Linked DNA regions of Anolis sagrei. The protein of the gene in region 1 purifies or fractionates together with the protein of each later gene. This does not show direct contact. Links are inferred from orthologs where the notes say so. Each region holds a gene or a part of one and is shown on either strand. Other genes may lie near its edges. The genes, in order: MAP3K7, PELI3, IRAK1 and USP18.

Region 1 (7,786 bases):
TGTGACTACAAATTGCCAACCCTCCAGTTAAAATATAAAGATATACAACATACCACTTGAGGTTGCTTTGTTGTTGCTGTTGCATGTGTGCTTCCAAGTCATTTTGGGCCAATGGTGACCCTATCACATGGTTTCCTTGCCAAGATTTGTTTTTCTGCCATTGACTGGGGGCCCTTCCACGCAGCCCTATATCCCAGAATATCAAGGCAGGAAATCCCACATTATCTGAGTGTTCACCCAGATAACCCAGATCAAAGCAGATATTGTAGGATTTCCTGCCTTGATATTCTGGGATATAGGGCTGTGTGGAAGGGCACAGCCTTGGTCTGAGGCTGAAATAGTGCTCTAGGTCATTTTGTGGGTTTAGTGGTCAAGTGAGGATTTTCAGACCCTGGCCTTCAAAGTCATAATCCAAAATTCAAAACACTACATCATGTTTGCTTTGAACACATCGCTTGAAAAATAACTAAACCTGCTGTAGAAAAACAGCAGTCTCTTAAAAAGTGTGGTTGAAGTCTTTCATGGCTTTTATTTGTTTGATGCATACCTTTAGGGAATACTCAGGTCCTTTATGTGAGCCAAATCTCCACAGGTTACCCTGAGATTTAAAATTAAGACCAGGTTTCTGGACGGGCACTTGAAAAAGTGTATTGGTTTTATTGTTTTGTTATATTTTACCTCTTGTTTCTCTACTCACTAACTGATAAGAAGTGACCCAATAATATCCCTAAAAACTTCATACCTTCTACACTGCCATATAATCCAGATCATCAAAGCAGATAATCCAGATTATCTGCTTTGAACTGAATTATATGAGTCTACACTGCCATATAATCCAGTTCCAAGCAGGTAATCTGGATTTTATATGGCAGTGTAGAGGGAGCCTGAGTTTGCCAGATCTGACTCTAAATAACTTTTGAGTCCTGGTTTCTCTCAAAAATCTGTCCATATTTGAGTAGGGATGTGATTTGAATTCTAATGTATTTATTTATTTCTTATGTCCAGTGGTCCTCTCATCTTCACTAAGGAGTGAGAAGTACCAAGAAGTTGTACTTAGGGGTGGGATGCAGGAGAAAAAGACCATTTCCTGAATAACACTGGCGTCCTGATAGCAATGTGCAGTGCAGTCCTCTACATATTTCTTCATGGATTTTGTCCCAAGCAAGGACTTAAAGCAGGCATGGGTAAACTCTGGCCCTCCAGTAGCTGTTAGGAATTATGGGAGTTGGAAGTCCAAAATATCTGGAGAGCCAAAGTTTGCTTATGCCTGACGTAAGGAATAGTTTTGGGGAGCATCTAAATAAAGTAGAGGAAATGCAGTTTGACATCACTTTAGCTGTCATGACTCAGTGCTCTGGAATGATGGGAGATTTGGTTTTACTAGGCCTTCTCTGCCAAAGAGTGATGGCTCCTCACCAAACCACAACTCCCAGTACTAAATAAAATAGCCTTTAGTACTCTCTCCCAAAGGAGATCAGAATGGCCCAATTGCTGTCCTCCTTTAGGAAGCAAATAAAAACCTTAAAAAACCCATAACCCAGGCTCATGGAGATGTGAATGGTCAAAAATCTGGCCTTATGAAATAAGAATTTAATATTGCCATGGCTTTTAATCATGTTTTTATTGATACTGTTTTTAATTTGCTATTATTGTTTCACTTGTGATTTGTATGATTGTTGAATGTGCTGTTAATTTATTGCAGTCGTCTTATTGTTTAGTTATTATTAGTTTATATTGATGTTGTTTTATTTATTGTGTCGACTGATTTGTTGTTTTTCTGTTTTTATTATGACACTGAATGTTTACCACTTTTGATGGAAACCAGAGTCCCCATGGGGAGATGGGGTGGGAGAGAAATAAAGTTTTGCTTATTTACTTATTTGAGTCAAGGTAGTTAAAGTGATGGGAAGCTGCATTTGTTCCGTGGTGTAGTATATACATCCTTTGAAATCAATATGAACGGTGGCAATGTCTATGGGCCCTTCCACAAAGCCATATAACCCAGAATATTAAGGCAGAAAATCCCACAATATCTGCTTTCAACTGGTATGTATGGCAGTGTGGACTCACACAACCCAGCTCAAAGCAGATATTGTGGGATTTTCTGCCATGATATTCTGGGATAGAGGGCTGTGTGGAAGGCCTGGAGTCCACATTGTTTTATATTTCAGTTCAAAGCAGATAATGTGGGATTTTATTTAGCTATTGCAGAAGGGGACCAGAATCTCAAGGCAGAAAATCTCACAATATGTGAACTGGGTTATCTGAGTCCACACTGTTAATATATCCCAGTTTAAAGCAGATGTGGGATTTTATGTAGCTGTGAGGAAGGGGCTTCACAATATAATTGCAGAAAATCCCACAACATCTGCTTTGACTCGAGTTATCCGAGAGCCCTTCCACACAGGCCTATATCCCAGAATATCAAGGCAGGAAATCCCACATTATCTGAGTGTGGACTCAGATAACCCAGTTCAAAGGAAATACTGTGGGATTTTCTGCCTTGATATTCTGGGATATAGGGCTGTGTGGTAGGGCCCCCAAAATATCAAGGCAGGAAATCCCACAATATCTGCTTTGAACTGGAATATATGGCAGTGTGGACTCAAGATAACCCAGTTCAAAGCAGATATTGTGGGATTTCCTGCCTTGATATTCTGGGTTATATAGCTGTCTGGAAGGGCCCTGAGTCCAGACTGTCTTATAACCAAAGCAGATAATGTGGGATTTTCTTCAGTTGTGTGGAAGGGGCCTAGTCCTCACCTCTGGCGAACACCAGTGGTCACCAACCTTGGGGGTTTGGGACTTCATCTCCCAGAATCCCTCAGTGCTGTCCTGGATGTTTGGGGCTGCTGGGAGCTGAAGTCCGGACCACCTGGAGGGCCGAAGTTTGCCCGTGCCTGAGCGAAGGCCATACAATGCAGTGCCGGTGGGGCCTTAGGCTTGAGTCCCTCGAGTGTTTTGGACTTCGTCTCCCAGAATGCCCCAGTGCTGTCCTGGCTGGCCGGGGCTCCTGGGAGTTGAAGTCCCCCAAGGCTGGGCGCCCCAACGCCCGGCGCGGCCCAGGACCTCACCTCTTCCACCTCGATGGCTTTGTAGTCGATCTCCTCGAAGTTGAGCACGGGCTGGGTGTCAATCATGTCCGCGGGGCCGGCCGAAGACATCCCTCCGCCCGCCGAAGAGGCTCCTCCGCCGGGCCGGCTTCACCGGAGGCCCATGGCCCCGCGGGCTCGGCGTGAAGCGGGGAGGGCGAGGGCCGCTCCTCCGCCGGGCCTGTGCCCTGCTCCCCGGCCTCTTCCCGCTACTGCCTGCGAGGCCCAGGCGGAGCCATGGCTGGCGGCGGAGGAGGCAAGGAAGCCAGCGGCCCTCCTCTTCCTCCTGCCCGCCCGCTTCCCGGAGCCGCCCCGCCCCCTCCCCCCGCCCTCCCACGAAGGAGGGAGGCTCAGCCGGGCACCACCCCGCTGCTAGGCCTCAAGGCGGTGGGATCCCGGGTGGGAGCTCTCGTCTGGGGAGGCAGCAGCACTCTTCGGCAAGGGAAACGGGGGGCCCTATAGGACTACAGCCCCCAGGATCCCATAGCAATAGACCTTGGCATTCGGGAGTTTTGGTTGCTGGGATTTATAGTTCACCTATAATCAGAGATAAATGCAAGGCTGGGGTGAAAATTGCTGGAAGAAACCTTAACAACCTTAGATATGCAGATGATACCACTTTGATGGCTGAAAGCGAGGAGGAGCTGAGGAGCCTTCTAACCAAGGTGAAGGAAGAAAGTGCAAAAGCTGGGTTGCAGTTAAACATCAAAAAAACCAAGACTATGGCAACAAGAATGATTGATAACTGGGAAATAGAGGGAGAAAATGTGGAGGCCGTGACAGGCTTTGTATTTCTAGGTGCAAAGATTACTGCAGATGCAGACTGTGGCCAGGAAATCAGGAGACACTTCGTGGGAGGAGAGCAATGACCAATCTCGATAAAATAGTGAAGAGTAGAGACATCACACTGGCAACGAAGTTCCGCATAGTTAAAGCAATGGTATTCCCTGTAGTAACCTACGGATGTGAGAGCTGGAGCATAGGGAAGGCTGAGCGAAGGAAGATAGATGCTTTTGAACTGTGATGCTGGAGGAAAGTTCTGAGAGTGCCTTGGACCGCGAGAAGGTCAAACCAGTCCATACTTCAGGAAATAAAGCCCGACTGCTCATTGGAGGGAAGGATAGTAGAAGCAAAGATGAAGTACTTTGGCCACATCATGAGAAGACAGGAAAGCTTAGAGCTGGGGTCCTCAAACTTTTTAAACAGAGAGCCAGGTCATAGTCCCTCAAACTGTTGGAGGGCCGGATTATAATTTGATAAAAATTTGAATATGAATTAATTCCTATGCACACTGCACATATCTTATTTGTAGTGCAAAAACCCTTTAAAACAATACAATAATTAAAACGAATAACAATTTAAACAAATATAAACTTATTAGTATTTCAATGGGAGGTGTGGGCCTGCTTTTGGCTGATGAAATAAGGTTGTTGTTGTTGTTGTTGTTGTTGTGTGCTTTTAAGTCATTTCAGACTTAGGTTGACCCTGAGTGAGGGCCGCGTAAATGACCTTCGGGGGCTGTATCTGGCCCCTGGGCCTTAGTTTGAGGACTCCTGGCTTAGAGAAGACAATGATGCTGGGGAAAATGGAAGGAAAAAGGAAGAGGGGCTGACCAAGGGCAAGATGGATGGATGGCATCCTTGAAGTGACTGGCTTGACTCTGAAGGAGCTGGGGGTGGTGACGGCCAACAGGGAGCTCTGGTGTGGGCTGGTCCATGAGGTCACGAAGATTTGGAAACGATTGAACAAGAAACAACAACTGCAATCGGAGAGCATTCTGAACCCCACCGAGAGAATTGGGCCAAACTTCCCACACAGAACCCTCATGACCAACAGAAAAGCCCTGGCAGTTAAAAGTGTTGTCAAAGTATCAATTCCCCACTGTGTAGATGCGCCGAGGGAGTGCTACTGTCCTCATCGTTAAATATTTTAATAACTGTTTCAATAATCATTATGTGTGTTTATATAATTTATGCACATTTTTATACAAGATGTAACTGGTGGGTTATGTTAACATTTAATTTTTGTTCAATTTTGTCGTAGCTTTTGTTTACTTTTGGTATTTGAATAGTTTGTTTTTGTATTCTCTTTAAGAATGTGTTTTAGCATTACATATTTGCCATTTTTTTTTGTTGGAATCCACCCTGAGTCCCCTCGGGGAGAGAGGGCAGAATACAAATAAAGTTTTATTATTATATTGTTATTACTCTCCGCTAGCACTGAATGGAAGCCAACGGTGCCAGAGGGGTAAATCCTGTACAACTAATGCAGTTTGAATTGATAACATGGGTTAGAGCCCTTCCAGATAGCCATATAACCCAGAATATCAAGGCAGAATAACCCACAATACCTGCTTTAAACTAGGGGTCCTTCCAGGCCCTATATCCCAGGATCTGATCCCAGGTTTTCTCTTTAATAATAATAATAATAATAATATTGACCTCACAGTCGTGTTAAAAAACAGAGTATGGATAGTTGATATTCCAATACCAGGCAACAGAAGGATTGAAGAGAAACAACTGGAAAAGCTGACACAATATGAGGATTTAAAGATCGAACTGCAGAGACTGGCACAAACCAGTAAAGGTGATCCCAGTGGTGATTGGCACACTGGATGCAGTGCCTAAAGACCTTGGCCTGCACTTAAACACAATCAGCGCTGACAATATTACCATCTGCCAGCTGCAAAGGTCCATCCTACTGGGATCTGCATGCATTATTCGCTGATGCATCACACAGTGGGAAGTGTCCAACGTGTCATCCAATATAACAGCCAGAGTGATCTTGTTTGCTGTGGACGCATCTTGTTGTGTTTCAAATAATAATAATAATAATAATAATAATAATAATAATAATACTAATCATCATCATCACCTTTCTTTATAACCCGCCCTATCTCCCCAGGAGGACTCAGGGCATTTCCCAAACAAAAAGTGGCAAACATTCAATGCCATACAAAAACCAACTGACAGAGGGTTGCTATGAGTTTTCTGGGCTGCATGGCCATGCTCCTGGACCAGAAGCATTCTGGAATATGGCTATACATCCCGGAAAACTCACAGCAACCCAGTGATTCTGACCATGAAAGCCTTTGACAACACATCAAACAGATAGGCAAACCAAATCAAAACAATAAGTAAAACATCAATATAAACATATAATAACAAAAAAGTACTTAAAACAAACACTGCCCTCTATCCCACACTGCTCTCTATCCCAGAATATCAAGGCAGAAAATCCCACAATGTTTGCTTTGAACTAGATTATCTGAGTCCACACTCAGATAATGTGAGATTTTCTGCCTTGATATTCTGGGATAGAGGGTTGTGTGGAAGGGACCCAAGTCTTATGCAATCATAAGAGTTTTAGTTTTACCAGGTCTTCAGCTTTCTCTGCTCAAGAGTGCTGCTGCCTCACCCAACTATAGATCCCAGGATTCCATAGAATCAAGCCATAGCGGTTAAAAGTGGTATAAAACTGCTCTCTAACGAGCAGTGGACATATGTGATAAAGAGCATGATAAAAGGGCACCAGAGTTCAAAAATATTGACAAATTGGACAGTGTCCAGAGGAGGGTGACTAAAATGATCAAAGGTCTGGAGACCATGCCCTATGAGTAGCGTCTGAAAGAGCTGGGCATGTTTAACCTGCAGAAGAGAAGGCTGAGAGGAGACATGATAGCCATGTATAAACATGTGAAAGGGTGTCAGAAGGAAGAGGGATCAGGCTTGTTTTCTTCTGCCCTTTAGATTAGGACTTGAGGCAATTGATTCAAATGACAGGAAAGGGGATTCCACCTGAATGTTAGGAAGAATTTCCTGACTGTAAGAGCTGTTCAGCAGTGGAATTGTCTGCATCCGAGTGTAGTGGAAGTTCCTTCCTTGGAGGCTTTTAAACTGAGGCTGGATGGCCATCTGCCAGCAGTGCTTTGATTGTGCTTTTCCTGCATGGCCCATGCAGTCTCTTCCAACTCTATTATTCTGTGATTCTAATTCCAGGGTATAGATGCACCCAAGACCCCCCCACCACACACACACAACTCCCCCAATAAAGATTATTAAAAAAAGAAAGATCCCCCCCCCCCCCGGGTTCAGCACTTGCCTGGGGAGCAAGCTTGTAGAAAGAATAGTTTTAGTTCTTTGTCCTGTTTCCATGACCAAAATGCTGGATACAAGCCTTTTACCATTTTTGATATCATAGAATCATAGATAGGAAAATGATGGAAAGAATAATCTAATTTAATTTTAATATATTTTATCAGTGTGTTTTAACCATGTTGTATCTGGCCTCAAGCTGTGAGGAGAGACATTTAACAAATGAATAATAATAATAATAATAATAATAATAATAAGCTCCTGCAAGAAGATCACACAGACAGACTACAAGCAGAGGCATAACATCGTTGCTCAGATTATTCATTGGAACTTGTGCCACAAATACCATCTCCCTTTGAAAAAGGACTGGTGGGATCACAAGCCTGAAAAGGTTACAGAAAATGAACATGTCAAACTACTCTGGGACTTCCGAATTCAGACTGCCAGAGTTTTGGAGCACAATACTCCTGACCTCACGATCATGTTAAAAAACCAAGTATGGATCGCCAATGTTGCAATCCCAGGTGACAGAGAAACAACTGGAAAAGCTGACATGATATGAGCATTTAAATACTGAACTGCAAAGACTCTGGCACAAAC
Region 2 (8,172 bases), on another chromosome or scaffold:
AAATTATAGATGTGGGGTCTGAATGGATAATAATAATAATAACAATAATAACAACAATAATTCAATAATAATAATAATAATAATAATAATAATAACAATAGATGGCACTGGAGGGTACCCCAAAGTATATAAGGCATTGGTTGGGAGATTGTAAATATGGGGATTGAATTTATGGCACTGGAGGGTACCCCAATGTATATAAGGCATTGCTTGGGAGATTATAGATATGGGGGCGGAATCTGTGGCTCTGGAGGGTACCCCAACATATATGTGACATTGCTTGGGAGATTATTGATGTGGGGTCTGAATGGATATGATGATGATGATAATAAATGACACTGGAGGGTACCCCAACATATATGACACATTGCTTGGGAGATTATAGATGGGGAGTCTGAATGGATAATAATAATAATAATAATAATAATAATAATAATAATAATAATAATAGATGGCACTGGAGGGTACCCCGGTGTATATAAGGCATAGCTTGGGAGATTGTAGATATGGGGACGGAATCTGTGGCACTGGAGGGTACCCCAACATATATGACACATTGCTTGGGAGATTATAGGTGGGGGGCCTGAATGGATAATAAAATAACAACAACAACAAATCAATAATAATAATAATAATAATAATAATAATAATAATAATAATAGATGGCACTGGAGGGTACCCCAATGTATATAAGGCATTGCTTCAGAGATTGTAGCTATGGGGATGGAATTTCTGGCATTGGAAGGTACCCCAATGTATATAAGGCATTGCTTGGGAGATTGTAAATATGGAGATGGAATCTATGGCATTGGACAGTACCCCAGCATATATGAGAAACTGTATGGGAAGTTATAGGTGTGGGGATGGAACGGATGGCAGCAGAGGGTACCCCAATGTATATAACCCATTGCTTGGGAGATAGTAAATATGGAGATGGAATATATGGCACTGGAGGGCACCCCACACATATATGAGGAACTGTATTGGGAAGTTAGAGATGTGGGGGCTGAAGAGATGGCACTTTAAGGTACCCCAGTATCTATAAGACATTGCTATGGGGACAGAATCTATGGCATTGGAGGGTACCCCAATATATATGAGGAACTGTATGGGTAAGTTAGAGATGTGGGGACTGAACAGATGGCACTTTCAGGTACCCCAATGTCTATAAGACATTGCTATGGGGACGGAATCTATGGCATTGGAGGGTACCCCAACATATATGAGGAACTGTATGGGAAGTTATGGGTGTTGGGGTGGAACGGATGACACCTCAATGTAAATAAGGCATTTAAGATACCCCAATGTCTATAAGACATTGCTATGGGGACAGAATCTATGGCATTGGAGGGTACCCCAACATATATGAGGAACTGTATGGGAAGTTAGAGATGTGGGGACTGAACAGATGCACTTTAAGGTACCCCAATGTCTATAAGACATTGCTATGGGCACAGAATCTATGGCATTGGTGGGTACCCCAACATATATGAGGAACTGTATGGGAAGTTATAGATGTTGGGATGGAATGGATGACACCTCAATGTAAATAAGGCATTTAAGGTACCCCAATGTTTATAAGACATTGCTATGGGGATAGAATCTATGACATCGGAGGGTACCCCAACATATATGAGGAACCGTATGGGAAGTTAGAGATGTGGGGACCGAACAGATGGCACTTTAAGGTACCCCAATGTCTATAAGACATTGCTATGGCATTGATGGGTACCCCAACATATATGAGGAACTGTATGGGGAAGTTAGAGATGTGGGGACTAAACAGATGGCACTTTAAGGTACCCCAATGTCTATAAGACCTTGCTATGGGGACAGAATCTATGACATCGGAGGGTACCCCAACATATATGAGGAACTGTATGGGAAGTTATGGGTGTTGGGGTGGAACGGATGACACCTCAATGTAAATAAGGCATTTAAGGTACCCCAATATCTATAAGACATTGCTATGGGGACAGAATCTATGGCATTGGAGGGTACCCCAACATATATGAGGAACTGTATGGGAAGTTATGGGTGTTGGGGTGGAACGGATGACACCTCAATGTAAATAAGGCATTTAAGGTACCCCAATATCTATAAGACATTGCTATGGGGACAGAATCTATGGCATTGGAGGGTACCCCAACATATATGAGGAACTGTATGGGAAGTTATGGGTGTTGGGGTGGAACGGATGACACCTCAATGTAAATAAGGCATTTAAGGTACCCCAATATCTATAAGACATTGCTATGGGGACAGAATCTATGGCATTGGAGGGTACCCCAACATATATGAGGAACTGTATGGGGACGTTAGAGATGTGGGGACCGAACAGATGGCACTTTCAGGTACCCCAATGTCTATAAGACATTGCTATGGCATTGGTGGGTACCCCAACATATATGAGGAACCATATGGGAAGTTAGAGATGTGGGGACCGAACAGATGGCACTTTCAGGTACCCCAATGTCTATAAGACATTGCTATGGCATTGGTGGGTACCCCAACATATATGAGGAACTGTATGGGAAGTTGGGATGGAATGGATGACACCGCAATGTAAATAAGGCATTGCTTGGGACATTGTAGATATGGAGACGTATCAACGAGGCATAATTTGGGGAGATTATAGATGTGGGGACGGAGCGGATGGCGCCTTCCCCAGTGTGTTTGTAAATAAAGGGGTGCAGGAGAGTCATCCAAACCAAAGGAAGGACTAAGAGGGTGGCCTTTCTCTCCTGAAACCCAGCCAAAGTGTCTTTGGTGGATGAAGCCCCCTCCCCATTAAGCAGGTATAGGGCCCCACAAAGCATGGGGGGTGGGTAGACCCAAATGGGTCGAGGGTCCCGACAATGAGAGAGTAAATGCATGCATCAAGTCTGGGAGTGGAAGAGGAGGGCCGATGATGCCATAGACCCCCTCCCTTCCTCCCTGCCCGCCTCCCCCTCCCACCATACCCCTCCCACCTTGGGTCTGGGGTCCGGCTCACCCCTCTGTGCTGCTGGCCAAGCCTTGCTGCCTTTGCGGAGAGTCCCTTTGCTCAACAGCCGCTGCCTGCGCAGGATGGAGAGCCCTGCATTGCCGGAGGAAGGCGAAGGATGCTCAGAGGAGGAGGAGATGGAGGAGGCACAGATGCGGATGCTGCTGCTGCTGCTGCTCCAGAGTCTGCAACACACACACACACACACAAGCACACAACACAGGGAGGAAGGTGTGGGATCCTGCCCGGCCGCTCCTCCTCTTCCTCCTCCTTGCCTGGATGCTCCGAGCATCACTTTTCGGCCTTCTCCATAGGATGAAATCATAGGGTCCAAGGGCAGGAGGTGGGGGTGAAGTGCAACAGATCGAGAGTCGAGCCAAAACAATAATAATAAAGCAAGGGGTCCAAAGTCTTAAGTCTTAAGGAGGATAAATGGGTGGGTGGGTGGGTCAGCATCCCTTTGGCACAAAAAGCAGGGAGAAAAGTGGTACCCAACCGTCATGCTATTGAATGAATATTCAGCCTGTCATTGAACATCGAGAAAACCAAAGTGCTCTTCCAGCAGTCACCGGCCAATAATAGTAATAATAATAATAATAATAATAATAATAATAATAATGGGTTGTTGTAGGTTTTTTCGGGCTATATGGCCATGGTCTAGAGGCATTCTCTCCTGACGTTTCGCCTGCATCTATGGCAAGCATCCTCAGAGGTAGTGAGGTGCTTGCCATAGATGCAGGCGAAACGTCAGGAGAAATGCCTCTAGAACATGGCCCTATAGCCCGAAAAAACCCACAAGAACCTAGTGATTCCAGCCATGAAAGCCTTCAACAATACATAACAATAATGGGTTGTTGTAGGTATATGGCCATAGTCTAGAGGCATTTCCTCCTGACGTTTCGCCTGCATCTATGGCAAGCATCCTCAGAGGTAGTGAGGTCTGTTGGAAGTAGGAAAATGGGTTTATATATCTGTGGAATGACCAGGGTGGGACAAAAGACTCTTGTCTGCTGGAGCTAGGTGTGAATGTTTCAACTGACCACCTTGATTAGCATTTAATGGCTTGGGGGAAATCTTTTGTTGAGAGGTGATTTGATGTGCCTGATCCGCGCTACTGGTACGTCTCGACCTTACCGCAGCGTTTGACACCGTCGACTACGATCTAATGATTCACCGTCTTGCCATGTCCGGAGTTCGTGGTCAGGCCCTCAATTGGTTCAACTCATTTCTCCGGAACCGGAGTCAATGCGTGGAGTACATGGATCAAGTCTCCGATAGATCCCCCCTCCTATGTGGGGTCCCCCAAGGTGCAATTCTCTCCCCTCTTCTCTTCAACATCTGGGCACCACAATTCAAGAGAGATATTGACAAGCTGGAATGTGTCCAGAGGAAGGCGACTCAAATGATCAAGGGTCTGGAGAACAAGCCCTATGAGGAGCGGCTTAAGGAGCTGGGCATGTTTAGCCTGAGGAAGAGAAGGCTGAGAGGAGATATGATAGCCATGTATAAATATGTGAGAGGAAGCCACAGGGAGGAGGGAGCAAGCTTGTTTTCTGCTTCCTTGGAGACTTGGACGTGGAACAATGGCTTCAAACTACAAGAGAGGAGATTCCACCTGAACATGAGGAAGAACTTCCTGACTGTGAGAGCCGTTCAGCAGTGGAACTCTCTGCCCCGGAGTGTGGTGGAGGCTCCTTCTTTGGAAGCTTTTAAACAGAAGTTGGATGATGTATTGTTGAAGGCTTTCATGGCTGAAATCACTAGCTTCTTGTGGGTTTTTTCAGGCTATAGGGCCATGTTGTAGAGGCATTTCTCCTGACGTTTTGCCTGCATCTATGGCAAGCATCCTCAGAGGTAGTGAGGTTGGATGGCCATCTGTCAGGGGTGATTTGAATGCAATATTCCTGCTTCTTGGCAGAATGGGGTTGGACTGGATGGCCCATGAGGTCTCTTCCAACTCTTTGATTCTAATGATTCTACATCAAACAAAACATCAATAAACACAGCATTAACATAACAGTCAATAAAATGCAAATAATATAAATCACATAAACAAAAACAAGAATCAATAATGTCATATAAACAGTTTTAAAAATGGCAAGGGCCAAATGTAATAGATCAAAATTGAAAATATGCTGACGTGAACAAGGTAAAATATAAATGGGATAGCATTTTTCAAAGAGAAACGAGAGAGCGCATAATATGCATTATGAGGGCATATTGCTGAGAGTTCCCCTTATTCTGGGAAGGCACACTGGAACAACCATGTTTTCAGGCTCCTCCTAAAGACTGCCAACGTTGTGGCATGTCTAATGTCCCTGGGAAGTGAGTTCCAGAGTCGAGGGGCCACCACCGAGAAGGCCGTGTCCCTCGTCTTCACCAATCAGGTGGGAGAGTGAGCAGGGCCTCTCCAGATGATCGAAGAGATTGTGTGGGTTCGTACACAGAAATGCAGTCACACAACCCCTCTCCAATGCTAGAAATACAGCTTAATGGTGTAACACTAGAAAATGTGGACCATTTCCACTCCCTTGGCAGCCACCTCTCCACAAAAGTCAACATCGACACTGAAATTCAACACCGCCTGAGCTCTGTGAGTGCAGCTTTTTTTCCGAATGAAGCAGAGAGTGTTTGAGGACCGGGACATCCGTAGGGAGACCAAGGTGCTTGTTTATAAAGCCATTGTCCTCCCAACCCTGCTAAATGCCTGTGAAACGTGGACTGTCTACAGACGTCACATGCAACTCCTGGAATGATTCCATCAGTGTTACCACCGGAAAATCCTGCTAATCTCTTAGAAAGACAAGCGGATAAATGTCAGCATGCTGGAAGAAGCAAAGACCACCAGCCTTGAAGCGATGGTCCTCCGCCATCAACTCCACTGGACCAGCCACGTTGTCCGGATGCCCGACCACCGTCTCCCAAAGCAGTTGCTCTACTCCGAACTCAAGAACGGAAAACGGAATGTTGGAGGACAGGAAAAGAGATTGAAAGATGGGCTCAAAGCCAACCTTAAAAACTCTGGCATAGACACTGAGAATATATAGATTATTATTGTTCTATTATTATTACACTTTTATTATTTTAATATATATTATTTTAATATATAATTATTAATTATTACTATTATTTTAATAGGTAAAGGTAAAGGTAGTCCCCTGACCTTAAGTCCAGTCATGTCTGACTCTGGGGTGTGGTGCTCATCTCCATTTCTAAGCCAAAGAGCCAGCGTTGTCCGTAGACACCTCCAAGGTCATTATATAATTATTATTTCAAAGGAATGATAATAATTTATTATTATTTATATAGATTATTATTATTCTATTATTATTATTATATTACACTTATTATTGTGGATCTACTCTACACTGATCATCTAGTGCATTATTTGCCAGTGTGGATGCAGCATGAAATGGACCCAGCATGAAAGGATCAAGGCTTGGGATTTGTAGTTCTGTCACTTGGGGTTGCCCAAACTCAATAGTATGGCATGTTGGGATTTGTAGTTCCCAGAGAAAGAGAGGGAGGGAGAGCTCTTGGTGTGCAAACAAACTATAAATCCCACTTGGCTCAAGGCTGTGGGCTCCTGGGAGTTGTAGTCCTCGGAGGCCTTTGCCCAAAGAGCCAGTGCAGACCCTCCAGGGTGTTTCCCCCTTTGCCTGCTTTGAGTCAGGCCGAGGGAGGCGGGTCCCGGAGGAAGGGGAGGAGGAGGCGAAGGGCGTCAACTTGGCTCCGCCAGCCCAGGATGTTACATCACAGCCGGGCTTGGGGGCGCTGCCGGCTCGCTCTCCTTGGCCAAGTGCAGGCGGAGAGGAAGAGGCGGAGGAGGTGGAGGAGGAGGAGGAGGGAGCCATGGACAGCCAGGGGCGCCGCGTGGTGGTCTGCGACAACGGCACCGGGGTGAGGCCAGGACACCACTCCCGCTTAACCGGAAACTCTCAAGCAACCGGAATATATATATATATATATATATATATATATATATTCTTCTCTATCTCTCTTTCTTTCTTTCCCAATTTGTTTCACTTTATGATATCACCTCCTAAATGCCGGTTGCTTGAGAGTTTCCGGTTAACCGAAAACTCTCAAGCAACCGGACTAATATATATATATATATATATATATATTTCTTTCTTTCGTCCCAATTTGTTTCACTTTATGATATCACCTCCCAATGCTGGTTGCTTGAGAGTTTCCGGTTAACCGGAAACTCTCAAGCAACCGGACTATATATATATATATATATATATATTTCTTTCTTTCTTTCTTTCTTTCTTCCCAATTTGTTTCACTTTATAATATTAACTCCCAAGTGCCGGTTGCTTGAGAGTTTCCGGTTAACCGGAAACTCTCAAGCAACCGGCATTGGGAGATGATGTTATAAAGTAAAACGCACCTTGCAACGGTATCCCTCCCAGGATCCCACAGAACAAACGTCTGGAGGGGGAATGAGCAAGAATGGTAGTGCAATCCAAGGCAACTCTCAGTTAACCGGAAACTCTCAAGCAACCGGACATATATCTATCTCTCTCTCTCTTTCTCTCTCTCTTTCTTTCTTTCTTCCCAATTTGTTTCACTTTATAATATTAACTCCCAAATTGCCGGTTGCTTGAGAGTTTCCGGTTAACTGAGAGTTGCCTTGGATTGCAATACCATTCATGCTCATTCCCCCTCCAGACTTTTTTTTTCTGTGGGATCCCCCCGGGAGGGATATCTTGGCAAGGTGCGTCTGCACTGCAGAAGGTGACTCACTTCCATACCACTTTGCAGATTCTTTCCTGATTGTTTTGATTTTTGTAGTGGGTGGGCAATGGATGTAGAATTTGGAAGGGACCCCAAAGGCCATCCAGAACCACCCCCTTTCTGCAATTCTGGAGGACACCATCCAAGCCCATAATAATAATAATAATAATAATAATAATAATAATAATAATAATATAATATATGGTGAAGATTGAATACTTGACGTGGAAGGGAGCCTATTATTATTATTATTATTATTATTATTATTATTATGTTGGAGGCAAGTGAGAATGTTGCAATTGGTCCCCTTGATTAGCATTGAATGGCCTTGCAGCTTCAAAGCCTGGCTGCTTCTTACCTGTGGTCCAGCATTTCTGTGTTCTCAAATAATAATACTGTGCCCTGATTGTTTCATGTCAGAAAACAATCAGGGCTAGGTAACA
Region 3 (7,923 bases), on another chromosome or scaffold:
ACAGCAAAATTCAAAAGGAATAAATACTTAGCCTAGAAAAACATATGGAAATATGTAGACACACAGAGGAAGAAGCTGCAAAAACGAATTTCCCCTTTATTAAATGTATTAACCTAATATGTTTTTAATGGATTAATACTCCTACATTTAATTCTACTTTTAAACGCGTTTGGTTTTAATATTCACTTTGTATGAATCTTAGCCACTTTGAGTCTCCTTTGAGGGAGAAAATGCGAGATATAATAAATAAATACATATCATGATAATAACACCACAACCAAAAATGTCCTAGTATCTTGATTTTTAGACCTGTTCCTTTGGTTATTTGGGGCCCTGGTTCAGAAAACTGCATTGGACAGACCACATCAGCTGTTGTTTCTTTGATACGGCTATCAATACACTATAATACAAAACTTTATTACGGTCACTGACCAGCACAAAGATATGGTTTTCTAAAGGAGAGCAGATAAGGAATCGGCAGGACAAATATACCCAGAAACAGGGCTAACATTTGGGTACCAAAATGTGTGTTATGAATCTTAGGTCACTTATACACTGTCATATAATTTTGTTTATCAAAGCAGATAATCCACATTATCTGCTTTGAACTGAATTATATGAGTCTACACTGCCATATATTCCAGTTCAAAGCAGATAATCTGGATTTTATATGGCAGTGTAGAAGGGGCCCTAGGCTTTTCACAAGAACTGACTGTGTGTTTTAGCAGCCTTCTTTGGTATATATATATGTGTGTGTGTGTGTGTGTGTATACACATATATACAAAATTAGGCTACTAAACTCCACTGTCTGTTCTTGTGAAAAGACTACAATTCCTTCTATGCTGCCATATAAAATTCAGATTATCTGTTTTGAAATGGATTATATGGCAGTATAGACTTGGGACCCTTCCTTACTGCCAAATGATCCAGATTATCCGATTTGAACTGGATTATATGGTAGAGTAGACTCAGGGCCCTTCCACACAGTCCTATAACCCAGAATATCAAGTCAGAAAATATCACAATATCTAATTGAAGTGGAATATCTGAGTCCACACTGCCATATATTCCACTTCAAAGCAGAAAGAGTGGGATTTCATTCAGCTGTGTGGAAGGAGCTTCTCGTCCCTTCTATACTGCCATATAAAATCCAGATTATCTGCTTTGAACTGGATTATATGGCAGTGTGTACTCAGGCCCTTCTACACTGCTATATAATCCAGATTACCTGCTTTGAACTGGATTATATGGTGGTGTGTACTAAGGCCCCTTCTACACTGCTATATAATCCAGATTATCTGCTTTGAACTTGATCATATGGGAATGTAGACTCAGACCTTCTACACTACCATATAAAATCCAGTTTATTTGGATTATATGACAGTGTAGACTCAGCCCCTTTCTACACTGTCATACAAAATCCAGATTATCTGCTTTGAACTGGATTATATGGGCGTGTAGATTCAGGCCCCTTCTACACTGCTATATAATCCAGATTATCTGCTTTGAACTTGATCATATGGGAGTGTAGACTCAGCCCCTTTCTACACTATCATACAAAATCCAGATTATCTACTTGGAACTGGATTACATGGCAGTGTGTACTCAGGCCCTTCTACACTGCTATATAATCCAGATTATCTGCTTTGAACTCGATTATATGGGAGTGTAGACTCAGCCCCTTTCTACACTATCATACAAAATCCAGATTATCTACTTGGAACTGGATTACATGGCAGTGTGTACTCAGGCCCTTCTACACTGCTATATAATCTAGATTATCTGCTTTGAACTTGATTATATGAGAGTGTAGACTCAGACCCCTTCTACACTGCCATATAAAATCCAGATTATCTGGATTATATGGCAGTGTAGACTCAGTCCCTTTCTACACTACCATAAGAAATCCAGATTATCTGCTTTGAACTCAATTATATGCCCATGTAAACTCAGGCCCCCTCTACACTGCCATATAATCCAGATTATCTGCTTTGAACTTGATTATATGGGAGTGTAGACTCAGACCCCTTCTACACTGCCATATAAAATCCAGATTATTTGGATTATATGACAGTGTAGACCCAGCCCCTTTCTACATTGTCATACAAAATCCAGATTATCTGCTTTGAACTGGATTATATGGCAGGGTGTACTCAGGCCCCTTCTACACTGCTATACAATCCATATTATATGCTTTGAACTTGATTATATGGGAGTGTAGACTCAGACCTTCTACACTGCCATATAAAATCCAGATTATCTGGATTATATAACAGTGTAGACTCAGCCCTTTTTTACACTGCCATAAGAAATTCAGATTATCTGCTTTGTACTTGATTATATGGGAGTGTAGACTCAGTCCCTTTTTACACTGTCATACAAAATCCAGATTATCTGCTTTGAACTCGATTATATGCCCATGTAAACTCAGGCCCCCTCTACACTGCCATATAATCCAGATTATCAATGCAGATTATCCACATTATCCGCTTTGAACTGGATTATCTAAGGCTCCTTCCACACAACTGCATAAAATCCACATTGAACCGGATTATATGGCAGTGTGGACTCAGATAACACAGTTCAAAGCAGATATGGTGGGTTATCTGCCTTGATATTCTAAATTATATGGCTGTCAGGAAGGGTCCTAAATCTACAATGCCATATAAACTAGTTCAAGGCAGGTGATTCAGATTCAAAGCAGATAATCCGGTCCTGGATTCATAATACTGCCCTGCCCTCTATCCCAGGTTCTGATCCCAGATTTACTCTATTTAAACTGGATTATATGAGTCTCCACTGCCAGATAATCCGGGATCAGATCCTGCCTGAGAGGAGGGGCGGCCACACTCCCTGAGGGGAAGCCAGGAGAGCCACTCACCGAAGCGCTGCCACTCCGCCCGGCCGAGGGCGTCCATAATCTCGTAGAACTGGCACATGACAGTGGCCGGCAACTCGTACAGGAACCTGGGCGAGTGGGAACCGGCCATCCCCCGCGGGCCCTTCCCCTGGCGGATAAGGCTGCTGCTGCTGCTGCTGAGGCGGCCACCCTCCTCCTTCTCCTTCTCCTCGTCCTCCGCCCAGGCCAGGCCATAGGAGAGGCCGGACGAGGGGGCGGGAAAAGGAGAAGAAAACGAGGAAAAGAAAGAGAGAGAGAGAAACAGAGACTGAGGGAGGAGGAGGAGGAGGCCGCCCCGAAAAAGGGCCACTTCCTCTTTAAAGCACGAGCCGCGCCCCCTTGGCAGCTCTGCGCCTGCGCCGACGTCTCCTCGCTTCTTCGGCCTGGTTGACGGAGCAGCGTTGGGAGGTCAGTCAGGCCGCCATCTTGAGTGCGGCACAGCATGACGGGAAACTTCCTTAATCCTACGTGAGGCAGCCATCTTGAATGCGGCAAAGCCTCTATTGGCCTATTGCTTTGCCTCACCCGCCTTCAGTTTCGCTGACTGCTGCTTCTATGGACATTTTGAGTGTTCCAAATGCTTGGGACCAAGAGTGTTTGAACGTTGAGAGCTTGTATCTACTTTAAAGCCTGTGGCTGCCTCCTTCCTGAAGGATTCTGGGGCTTGTAGTTTAGGGAGAAGACTTTAAGAGAGGTCCTGAGCCTCACTAAACTACAAGCCCCAGAGTTCATCGGGAGGCAGCCACAGGATTTAAAGGAGTGGTTCTCCACCTTCCTAATCCCATGACGCCTTAATACAGTCCCTCGTGTAATGATGACCCCCAACCATAACATTGTTTTTGTTGCTACTTCATAACAGTCATTTTACTACTGTTATCGATCATAATGTAAATATTAGATATGCAAGATGTATTTTCATTCACTGGACCAAATTGGGCACAAATACCCAATGCACCCACATGTAAATGCTAGTGGGGTTGGGGGAGGATTGATTTTGTAACTTGGGAGTTGTAGTTGCTGGGATTTATAGTTCACTTATAATCAAAGAGGAGCCCCCGGTGGCGCAGTGGGTTAAAGCACTGAGCTGCTGAGCTTGTTGATCGAAAGGTCGCAGGTTCGATTCCGGGGAGCGGTGTGTGCTTCCGCTATCAGCCCTAGCTTCTGCCAACCTAGCAGTTTGAAAACATGCAAATGTGAGTAGAGCAATAGGTACCGCTCCGGCGGGAAGGTAACAGCGCTCCATGCAGTCATGCCGGCCACATGACCTTGGAGGTGTCTATGGACAACGCTGGCTCTTCGGCTTAGAGATGAGCACCACACCCCAGAGTCAGACATGACTGGACTTAATGTCAGGGGACTACCTTTACCTTTACCTACCTTATAATCAAAGAGCATTCTGAACTCCACCAGTGATGGATTTGAACCTAACTTGGCACACAGAACTCCCATGACCAACGGAAAACCCTGGAAGGGTTTGGTGGGTATTGACCTTGAGTTTGGGAGTTGTAGTTCACCTATATCCAGAGAGCACTGTGGACTCATGCAATGGTGGATCTGGACCAAACTTGGCATAAATACTCAGTATGCGCAAATGTGAACACTGGTGGAGCCTGGGGAAAATAGACCTTGACTTTTGGGAATTGTAGTTGCTGGGATTTATAGTTCATTATAATCAAAGAACATTCTGAACTCCACCAACAATAGAATTGGCTCAAACTTCTCACATGGAATCCCCATGACCATCAAAAAATACTGTGTTTTCTGATGGTCTTTGGCGACCCCTCTGACACCCCTTCATGACTCCCTCAGGGGTCCCGACCCCCAGGTTGAGAAACACTGATTTAAAGGGATAGCTGCTGTAGTGTGATGAAGTTTGTAATGAGGTAGCTTGGCCATGGGACCCAAGTCTAAGCACCACATTAATGTTTAAAGGTAAAGGTTGTCCCCTGACATTAAGTCCAGTCATGTCTGTCTCTGGGGTGTGGTGCTCATCTCAATTTCTAAGCCGAAGAGCCGGTGTTGTCCGTAGACACCTCCAAGGTCTTGTGGCCAGCATGACCGCATGGAGCGCCGTTGTTTACTGCATACATATCTTATACGTACGTTTAAGATCAAGTCAGGAGATGCTGTGGCTTTAATTTTAATATGCATTGATTATGTTGAATTGTTTTTAAACTGAATTTTTAATACTGTTTATATTGAATTCTGTTTCAATGTTTGTATATTTTATATTAGCCGTCCCTTGCTGCATTGCTGTGGCCCAGTCTGGTGATCTGGAAAATAAAGTAATGAGTGTTGGTTTCTAATATATGTAATTTCTTTATGCTTGTGGATAAACTGTATTTGATTACATTTTCAAATACTGATGGAAGGGAGTCGGACTGGATGGCCTTAAGTATTTTCTTTTGGCCATAGGGGTTATGTGTGGGAAGTCTGCCCCAATTCTCTCGTTCGTGGGGTTCAGAATGATCTTTGATTGTAGGTGAACTATAAATCCCAGTAACTACAACTCCCAAATGTAGTCTATTTTCCCCAAACTTCATCTGTGTTCCTACTTGGGCATATGGAGTACTCCTGCCAAGTTTGGTCCAGATCCATCATTGTTTGAGTCCACAGTGCTCTCCCAAACTCAAGGTCAATGCCCACCACACCCTTCCAGTATTTTCTGTTGGTCATGGGAGTTCTGTGTGCCAAGTTAGGTTCAATTTCATCATTGGTGAAGTTCAGAATGCTTTTTGATTGTAGGTGAACTATAAATCCCAGCAACTACAACTCCTAAATGACACAACCCCCCCCCCCCAACCCCACCAGTATAAACTTAATAGTATTTTAATGGGAAGTGTGTGCCTGCTTTTTGTCTGAAGAGATAGGTAAACCATATTTGATTACATTGCTGTTGTGTGCTTTCAAGTCGTTTCAGACATAGGTTGACCCTGAGCGAGGGCCGGGTAAATGACCTTGGAGGGCTGTATCTGGCCCTCGGGCCTTAGTTTGAGGACCCCTGACTTAAGCCCCCCCCCCCCCCCGAATCAAAATTCTGGCTATGGGCCTGCAGTGGGGGAAGAGTGTGAATGATAGCTATCAGAGACTGAAATGGGGACACTGGTTGGTTGAAATAACACTGAAGAACATATATATGTCCATGGAGCTTACCTTTTTATCCCATTATGAGGTATTGCCATCAGAAGGACAGGTCTTTCCTTGTTTGGAAGCGGATACACTCATGCCTGACTTGCTATTCTCTCTGAAGAATGTAAGCCCTTTCTACATGGCATTCTTCTGTGATGGCAGTCCTCTTGGAGCCTGATTAGGACATATCCTGTAAGCAACTCAAATAATAGGAGAAATCCAGGATAGTCTGTATGACAGATTTTTGTGCTGTTGACCAAGATAAAAGGCAAAGTCACAACACTGTTGCCAGTGCCATCACAAGCCTGCAATATTTCAATATTGTAGTTGATTTTAACGCATTTTGGGGTGTTGAATTTGAAAAACAAACAAAAAATGTCATAAAACACAGTTATTTCACCAATTTAATTCCTAAATTCCAACACTTATTTCATCAGTCACATAGTATAACCTAAGAGTCCTGAAAGCAAGTTGTGAAAACAACTGTAATATAGCAAATCTGAGGTCTTTTTGTTTGGATTTCGAATGCCAAATTCTTATAGAACCTGCAAACATTTTTAAAAAATAGTTATTATGACACTCATTTTTGCAATTCTGTGAATTAGTGTGCATGCATGTGGTGGGCTGGTGTTCTGTAAACGGTTTGTATGTATGTACACAGTTGTACTCTACAAAGCTGGGCCCTTTTAAAGAATCACGGAAGTACCTGGCAATCAACTTATTTAGTTATTTATTTATGAAATATATGCCCCATCTTTCCTGCCTCAAGGCAGCTTACACTCAGTATAAACATACAATATAATTGTTTAAACAAAACCATAAATATGAGTGAATGCTGTGAAACACTAATTAAACCCCAATAAAATACATTGAATACCACACTGATAATACGTAACAAAGTCGAAGAGCCTTCCTAACTTAGTTTCCTCCAAAGACTTCCTTTGAAAAGGAGGTTTTTTGGCTCATCCTGAATGCCAAAAAAGAGAGTGCAGATCTAATCTCCCCTGGGAGGGCATTCCAAAGAGAGGGAGCCACTCCCAAGAAGGACCCCTCTTTAGCGATCGTCAAATGGAGACTGTCACGGATGCTTGAGGACACCAGAATTTCCCCACTTGATCTTAACAATCTCCTCAGTGTTTACAAAGGAACCCGTTGTCTCAGGTAATCTGGACTGATGCTGTGAAAGGCTTTAAAGGTCAAAATTAGTACTTTAAATCAGACCCGGAAACTAAATGGGAGCCAATGCAGCTGTTTCAGGAGTGGGATACTTGGTTCTCTTATATCCACTCACGCTAACAACCTACCTGTCGATCTTTGAACAAATTGAAGTTTCCAAACCGTTTTCAAAGGCAGCCCCACATAGAGTGCATTACAGTAGTCCAGGCAGGATGTAACCAAGGCATGTACTACAGTTGACAGGTCAATTTTTTTCAGGAACGGCAGCAGTTGGCGCACCAGTTTAAGTTGTGCAAAGTCAATCCTGGTAACCTCCGCCACCTGGGTTTCCAGGTTTAGACTCCAGAACCACCCTCAAACTGCGAACCTGAGCTTTCAGGGGTAATGTAACCCCATCCAGCTCCAGTTGGGATCCAGTTCCTGATCCATACTATGTGAGACCAGTAGTACTTATGTCTTATCTGGATTCAGTTTTTATTTGTTTACCCTCATCCAGCCTATTACTGGCTCCAGGCATTAGTTCAGGCACAGCACGGCTTCCTTGCCATTAGCTAGTGAAAAGGAATAATAGAGTTGAGCATAATTTGTGTACAGGTGACACCAAACTCCAAAACTCTGGATGATCTCTTCCAGCGGTTCCATGTAGATGTTAAATAACATCGAGGAAAGTGATGAGCTCTGCAGAACTCCACAATCTTAACATCCATGGGGTCGAGCA
Region 4 (7,898 bases), on another chromosome or scaffold:
CACATGAGAACCATGGTTTCAAGATTTAAAAGGGGTGTCTCATTGAGGGGTGGGGGCGACTGACTTTCTGCTGCTCTAGAGACCAGGGCACAAAGGAGCAATGGTTTCGACTGAAAAAATTAGGATGACCTTCCTGGGGAGTGGCATAGACTGCCTCGGAGTGTGGTGGAGTCTCCTTCTCTGGAGGTTTTTCCACAGAGGCTGTGTACTGGGAGTGCTTGGCAGAAGGTTAGACTGGATGGCCCTTGGAGGTCTCTTCCAATTCTAGGATTTTAGGATTCTATAGCAGGAGTAGGCAATATAGAGTCTCTAATGGATACACTTTGTCTCTCTCATCCACCATCTCATCCTGACCAAGGCCAACCCTTTTGGGATCCAAATGTTTCCTGTCTTTCCTTCACTTTCTGCTTCCAAAAGAGAAGAGGAAGGAGAGGAAAGGGCAGGGAGGGGGCTTGGGGAGAACCCCCTCCCTCATAGCCTGCCCACCCCACCGCAGCCTACCATGTGGCCCCCAAGTTAGAAAGTTTGCCCACACCTCTCCTAGACTATATAACTGATTATATTATAGACCAATTGGCATAGATACAAAGAGGATTTCCTGGTCAATATTCCAAGCAGATTTCAACATCGCAATATTTTATTGCAATGTTTGTTATTATATTGTTTCCCTTTATTCTTCCTTGTTTACATTTGTTACCATTTTGATAAGGGAATCAGCTGACTTGCTTGTTTGGGCTATTACTTTATGGATTCATTTAGTAATTGCAAAGTACCAGGAAAGCATCTGACATTTTGCCAAAATATAACATATATAGTTACCTGGAAAATAGACATTTAAACTGTACATAAAATGCTTGGATAAATTACATTTGAAGCAATGGAAAGAAAGCCATTAAACCAAAGGTCTCATGCTCCCAAGATTAAAACTAAGTGTTGTTAAAGGCTTTCATAGCCGGAATCACTGTGTTGTTGTGAATTTTCTGAGCTGTATGGCCATGTTCCAGAAGCATTCTCTCCTGACATTATGCCTGCATCTTTGGCAGGCATCCTCAAAGGTTGTGAGGTATGTTGGAAAGTAGGAAACTATATCCACAGATATATAAACCCCATTTTCCTAGTTTCCAACAGACCTCACAACCTCTGAGGATGCCTGCCATAGATGTAGGCAAAACGTCAGGAGAGAATGCTGCTGGAACATGGCAGCTTAAGCAGCTGAGGGGGGAAAGGAAGGGGCCTGAGGCTGTTAGGAATGGTGGGATTTGGAGTCCCAAACACCTAGAGGGCTCAAGTTTGCCCATGCCTGATCTACACTGTAGAATTAACACAGTTTGATGCCACTTTGACTGCCATGCCTCAATGCTATCAAATCCTGGGAATTGTACTTTGGTGAGGCATCTAACTTCTTTGGCAGAGAAGACTAAAAACCTTGAAAAACAACAACTCCCAGGATTCTGTGGCATGGCAGTTAAACTGATGTCAAACTGCAGATACACCCATATCCACATATATAACATGGGAGTCAGTTGCATCATCTCTCCGGGAATTTAAAGGCAATGCATTTAGAAGTGAGGATGCATTTGAAGGACCAATGTTGCAAAAAATATAAACACAATGTGGATCCAATGATGCCCAACCCAGAAAAAAAGGGATTCAAAGGGTACATCTACACTGCAGGATGAATGCAGTTTGAGAGCACTTCAACTATCCATGGCTCAATGTATTTTCGAAGGCTTTCATAGCTGGAATCACTGAGTTGTTGTGAGTTTTCTGGTCTGTATGGCCATGTTCCAGAAACATTCTCTCCTGACATTTCGCCTGCATCTATGGCAGGCATCCTTAGAGGTTGTGAGGTCCTTGGCAGCCACCTCTCCACAAAAGCCAACATTGACACTGAAATAAAACACCGCCAGAGCTCTGCGAGTGCAGCATTTTTCCGAATGAAGCAGAGTGTTTGAGAACTGGGACATCCGTAGGGAGACTAAGCTGCTGGTTTACAAAGCTATTGTCCTCCCAACCCTGCTATACGCCTGTGAGACGTGAACTGTCTACAGATGTCACACTCAACTCCTAGAACGATTCTATCAACACTGCCTCCGGAAAATCCTGCAAAACTCTTGGAAAGACAGGAGGACAAGTATCAGTGTGCTGGAAGAAGCAAAGACCACCAGCATTGAAGCGATGCTCCTACACCATCAACTCTGCTGGAGTGGCCATGTTGTCCAAATGCCCAATCACCATCTCTCAAAGCAGTTACTATATTCCCAACTCAAGAACGGAAAATGTAATGTTGGTGGACAGGAAAAGAGATTTAAAGATGGGCTGAAAGCCAGCCTTAAAAACTGTGGCACAGACAGCAAGAACTGGGAAGTCCTGGCCCTTGAGTGCTCTAACTGGAGGTCAGCTGTGACCAGCAGTGCTGCAGAATTCGAAGAGGCACGAATGGAGGGCAAAAGGGAGAAACGTGCCAAGAGGAAGGCGTGTCAAGCCAACCCTAATCAACTCTGGCATAGACACTGAGAACTGGGAAGCCCTGGCCCTTGAGTACTCTAACTGGAGGTCAGCTGTGACCAGCAGTGCTGCAGAATTCAAAGAGGCACAAATGGAGGGCAAAAGGGAGAAACGTGCCAAGAGGAAGGCGTGTCAAGCCAACCCTAATCAACTCTGGCATAGACACTGAGAACTGGGAAGCCCTGGCCCTTGAGTACTCTAACTGGAGGTCAGCTGTGACCAGCAGTGCTGCAGAATTCAAAGAGGCACAAATGGAGGGCAAAAGGGAGAAACGTGCCAAGAGGAAGGTGCGTCAAGCCAACCTTAACCGGGACCACTTTCAACCTGGAAACCGATGTTCTCACTGCGGGAGAACATGTGGGTCAAGAATAGGGCTCCACAGCCACCTACAGACCCACCGACTTGGAGGACCATCATCCTTGGGCTATGAGGGATCACCTAATGTGGGTCAAGAATAAGGCTCCACAGCCACCGACTTGGAGGACCATCATCCTTTGACTATGAGGACTCACCTAAATAAGTAAATAAGTGTGTAAATAAGTTTGGGCTGTATGGCCATGTTCCAGAAGCATTCTCTCCTGATGTTTCGTCCGCATCTATGGCAGGCATTGTGAGGTCCATGGCTCAATGTTATGGAATCCTGGGAGTTGTAGTCTTACCTGGTCTTTAGCCTTCCCTGCTGATGGAGTTTGGAGAAAATAGACTTTGACATACTTGCTGGGATTTATAGTTCACCTACAATTAAAGAGTCCTGGTGCCCCACCAAACTTCAATTCCGAGGATCCCAGAGCATGGAACTAAGTCTTGCCTGAGTGCAATAACTCTACAGTACTGTAGATCAACCCCAAAAGGCCAGGTTGGAGAAGGATGGCTTGGAAGGTAACTTACGGTGATGGAGGAGGAGGAGGAGGGCTCAACCTTTCCCGGCTGCTTGGTCTCCACTCCGCTCGACTGTGCGTCCACACTAGCGACAGGGAAACTTCCGATCCTGGCGCGGTCGGCTCCCTTTTTGACAGCTGTGCGTCACTTCTAGAGGGCAGCACCGAGCAGACGGCCATGAGTTTTGATTTCCCGCTGAAGGGCGGCTCGCTTTAGAAAGTGAAACTTAACCAGCTTCGTTTCCAAAGCGCCTCCGCCTCCTCGTTCTCCTCCACCTTCCTTTCCTACCTATGCAGCCCAAGGACTCTGCTCTCTTAGGTGCCTCTACACCAGTGTTTCTCAGTCTTCCTAATGCTGCGACCCCTTAATACAGTTCCTCATGTTGTGGTAACCCCCAACCATAACATTATTTTTGTTGCTACTTCAGAACTGTAATGTTACTATTGTTATGAATACTCAATATGCCCAAATGTGAACACTGATGGAGTTTGGAGAAAATAGACTTTGACATTTGGGAGTTGTAGTTGCTGGGATTTATAGTTCACCTACAATCAAAGAGCATTCTGAACTCCATCAATGACGGAATTGGACCAAACTTGGCACACAGAACTTCCATGGCATGAATACTCAATATGCCCAAATGTGAACACTGATGGAGTTTGGGGAAAATAGACTTTGACATTTGGGAGTTGTAGTTGCTGGGATTTATAGTTCACCTACAATCAAAGAGCATTCTGAACTCCACCAACGATGGAATTGAACCAAACTTGGCACACTGAACTCCTGTGACCAACAGAAAATACTAGAAGGGTTTGGTAGGCATTGAGCTTGAGTTTTGGAATTATAGTTCACCTACATCCAAAGAGCATTGTGGACTCAAACAACAATGGATCTGGACCAAATTTGGCACAAATACTCAATATGCCCAAATGTGAACACTTATAGAGTTTGGCGAAAATAGACTTTGACATTTGGGAGTTGTAGTTTCTGGAATTTATAGTTCACCTACAATCAAAGAGCACTATTTTCCTACTGCCCTCTACCTTTCCAAGCATTACTTTCTTTTCTAGTGACTATTACTTTCCTAGTATATGGCCAAGCACAACAGTTTCACTTTAGCCATCTGGACTTCTAAGGAGAGTTCAGACTTCATTTCCTCTAGGACAGTGGTTCTCAACCTCCCTAATGTCATGACCCCTTAATATAGTTCCTCGTGTTGTGTTGACCCCCAACCATAACATTATTTTTTTTGTTACTTCAGAACTGTAATATTGCTATTGTTATGAATTGTCATGTAAATACCTGGCATGCAGGATGTATTTTCATTCACTGGACCAAATTTGGCACAAATACCCAATACGGCCATATTTGAATACTGGTGGGATTGATTTTGTCATTTGAGAGTTATAGTTGCTAGGATTTATAGTTCACCTTCAATCAAAGCACATTCTGAACCCCACCAACGATGGAATTGAACCAAACTTGGCACACAGAACTCCCATGAACAAGAGAGAATACTGGAATAGTTTGGTGGGCATTGAGCTTGAGTTTGGGAGTTGTAGTTCACCTACATCCAGAGAGCACTGTGGATTCAAACAATGATGGATTTGGACCAAACTTGGCACAAATACTCAATATGCCCAAATGTGAACACTGGTGGAGTTTAGGGAAAATAGGGCTTGACATTTGGGAGTTGTAGTTTCTGGGATGTATAGTTCACCTACAATCAAAGAGCATTCTGAACCCCACAAATGATAGAGTTGGGCCAAACTTTCCACACAGAACCCCCATGATGAACAGAACATCCAGTGTTTTCTGATGGTCTTTGATGACCCCTGACACTTCCTCACAAACCCCCAGTTGAGAAACCCTGTTCTACACTATTTGTCATGGCTCCTTGCATCCCAAGTCACACTTTCAAGTATTTATGTAAAGTGCTTTGATCAGTGCCAGCAGTCTGGGCTCCATATTGATATCAGTTAATTTCCTCCATAACGTCTCTCTATTTACAGTATCAAATGCCTCACTAAGGTTTATAAAGGCAGCATATAGTTCTCCCTGCTGCATTTTTTTGTTTCTCCAAAACCCTCTTCCTGCAATTTTGCCACATCATCTGTGGAGCCTCACATATGAAATTCCCTTCGCTATGTGCATTAGATTTCATGTCCCTCCCCACGTACATCCTTTTGGCTTAGGTTTACGTCTCCCCTTCTTTCCTGATGTGTCACAGCCAAGAAATGAAACTTAAGAGAAGGAAATGTGTGCTTTTCTCATGCCCCAACCCTAGATTGCTGAAGGCTCTCACCATGGAAAACCAGAAGAAGGTCATCCTTCATGTGTGTCAGGGCCAGATGACAGTTGGATAAGGTAAACACGTTTACTGTGAACTGGGATGCATCCGTGCTGTAGAATTAATGCAGTTTAGCATCACTTTAACTGCCAAGCTAAAAGCTCTGGAATCCTGGGATTTGTGTTTTGGTGAAGCACCGGATCTTGCAAAACTACAACTTCCATGATTTCATAGCATTCCATACAGGCATGGCAGTTCAAGTAGAATCAAACTGCATTAATTCTACAGTATAGATGCAACCTAAGACATTTAAATTACACTACATAACACTTTTTTTGCTCCTAGGTTATAAATGTAATTTCCTAATTGTTTGTATCCTGAAAGCATGGAAAAAGTTTACAAAACTTATCCTGCAGCACATTTTGCTATCGTTTTTCAATTAATATCTGTGTCTCAAGCAATGCAACATAGTTTGGCAGCCACAAAAATGAAGTTTCTGGAGTATAACTACTTTCTTTTTTTTTTTTTGAAGTTTAAAATAATCTTTATTAGTTTTAGTTAAAAAAAAAGTATACGGTATCTAATCGGGTAAGTATAAGAAGGTGGGGACAAAAGATGGGGATAGAGGGGGAATGATAGTATAGAGGGGGGTAGAGTGGGGGAGATGCTTTTGGTAGTTGTTCAGAATAAAGGGTGTGCCAGGTGTAGAAAAAGAAATTAAGGAGGTCACTGTGAGGGAAAAGAGGGTGTGTGATAGGTGTATATCTGACATTGACTTCCCGGTATCTTCTGGAGGTTCTTCCTCTTCCTTCGCTCCTTCTTTCTTCCAAACTACTCCTCTCTCTTCTCTCTTCTGCTCTCCCCCTTTTGTTTTGCTTGCCACTTTTTCATATGATTATTTTCATATTTTTTTTCTTCTATCAAGTATGTTGTTACTTGTTTCCAGTCAGTTTCTACTGATGGAGTGCCCCCTTTTTTTGAAAGTATGTAAGTTAATTTGTCCATATTTCTTATATCCAGGATCTTTGTTAGCCATTCTTCTTCTCCCGGGGGTTCTTTTTCCTTCCAATGCTTTGCATATATTATTCTGGCCGCAGTTGTTAAGAGAAATAGAATTTTGTCCTTATTCTTCTCCATTTTTATATCATGGATCCCTAGTAGGAATGTTTCTGGTTTTAGGGGTATATTTATCTTTAAATTTTTTTGTAATGATTTTTGTATACTTTTCCAATATGTTATTGCTTTTGGGCATGTCCACCATAGGTGGTAATATGTCCCTTCATGTTTTCTGCATTTCCAGCATTTTGTATTCGTATTTTTTTTGAATTTCCCTATCTTATGTGGTGTTATATACCACCTATATGCTATATGCTAAATTGGTTTAAGATAGCATATAGGGAGTATAACTACTTTCAAAGTAACTACTGCACAATTAAATGGGAATAACCGTTTCAAACCAGGAAACGTTTGTTTTCATTTTTTGTTACATAGTGTTATTTAAGGATAGTATTCAGCACCCTGAGTATCTCCTTTAAAGTTTGGACGTGAAGGCCAATGCAGATTCAGTGCCTTATTGACACCAACCACTAATATGTGGTTGCCACTACAGTAGGCATCTCTTCTCCTTGATATAAAACCGTCAAAATAGTTTTAAGGCACATTAAGGCTCCTTCTGTTTATTTTCAGCAATCAGTCCTGTTAGCTTGCCATTTCTGACTATGAACCAAGCTTACTGTGCCCTCAAAATCCACTAAAACGGAGCCTTCTGGTTCAAATGTTTCTCCTAGAAGCGTCTATTACAGGCACGGGCAAACTTGGGCCCTCCAGGTGTTTTGGACTTCAATTCCCACAATTCCTAGCAGCCGATAGGCTGTTAGGAATGATGGGAGCTGAAGTCCAAAACACCTGGAGGGCCCAAGTTTGCCCGTGCCTGTTCTATCGAATGGTACCTGGTGCAAAAGAAAAGTGCAGTAGGCCCTCCATATCCATAGATCCTGTATTGGAAATAGCAACCTTCTCAAGCCTCCACTAGTTATTTGTTATGTAAATAATTGCTTACTGTATTGTGTGTGTGTGTGTTGGTTTGCAGTTTTCCGTAATTCTTTTGTTGTGGGAGGGGCTGCAGACCATGTGATCAGATCTGGGCTTGTTCAGGACTCAGACTCCATTTTAGCACAGTTCGGTTTAGACTTCAGTAGAAAAGTAGGCGTTTAAGGAGACA

The links.
Region 2: the proteins of MAP3K7 (region 1) and PELI3 purify together in Homo sapiens (affinity purification with western blotting; 3 studies listed by BioGRID and IntAct, with this or other methods). This does not show direct contact. The link is inferred for Anolis sagrei from reciprocal best matches to the Homo sapiens genes MAP3K7 and PELI3.
Region 3: the proteins of MAP3K7 (region 1) and IRAK1 purify together in Homo sapiens (affinity purification with western blotting; 5 studies listed by BioGRID). This does not show direct contact. The link is inferred for Anolis sagrei from reciprocal best matches to the Homo sapiens genes MAP3K7 and IRAK1.
Region 4: the proteins of MAP3K7 (region 1) and USP18 purify together in Homo sapiens (affinity purification with western blotting; 4 studies listed by BioGRID, with this or other methods). This does not show direct contact. The link is inferred for Anolis sagrei from reciprocal best matches to the Homo sapiens genes MAP3K7 and USP18.

The regions. Positions count from the first base shown.
Region 1 is NC_090021.1:104,198,454-104,206,239, reverse strand, and holds the start of MAP3K7 (mitogen-activated protein kinase kinase kinase 7), read right to left. Parts: upstream 3,395-7,786; 5' UTR 3,165-3,394; coding exon 3,075-3,164; intron 1-3,074. UniProt on the Homo sapiens protein: Serine/threonine kinase which acts as an essential component of the MAP kinase signal transduction pathway. Plays an important role in the cascades of cellular responses evoked by changes in the environment.
Region 2 is NC_090032.1:9,730,130-9,738,301, forward strand, and holds the start of PELI3 (E3 ubiquitin-protein ligase pellino homolog 3), read right to left. Parts: upstream 3,327-8,172; 5' UTR 2,996-3,326; intron 1-2,995. Other genes in the region: actin-related protein 2-B-like, read left to right, coding at 6,839-6,886. UniProt on the Homo sapiens protein: E3 ubiquitin ligase catalyzing the covalent attachment of ubiquitin moieties onto substrate proteins. Involved in the TLR and IL-1 signaling pathways via interaction with the complex containing IRAK kinases and TRAF6.
Region 3 is NC_090022.1:175,996,676-176,004,598, reverse strand, and holds the start of IRAK1 (interleukin-1 receptor-associated kinase 1), read right to left. Parts: upstream 3,226-7,923; 5' UTR 2,992-3,225; coding exon 2,883-2,991; intron 1-2,882.
Region 4 is NC_090025.1:180,572,474-180,580,371, reverse strand, and holds the start of USP18 (ubl carboxyl-terminal hydrolase 18), read right to left. Parts: upstream 3,566-7,898; 5' UTR 3,397-3,565; intron 1-3,396. UniProt on the Homo sapiens protein: Interferon-induced ISG15-specific protease that plays a crucial role for maintaining a proper balance of ISG15-conjugated proteins in cells. Regulates protein ISGylation by efficiently cleaving ISG15 conjugates linked via isopeptide bonds.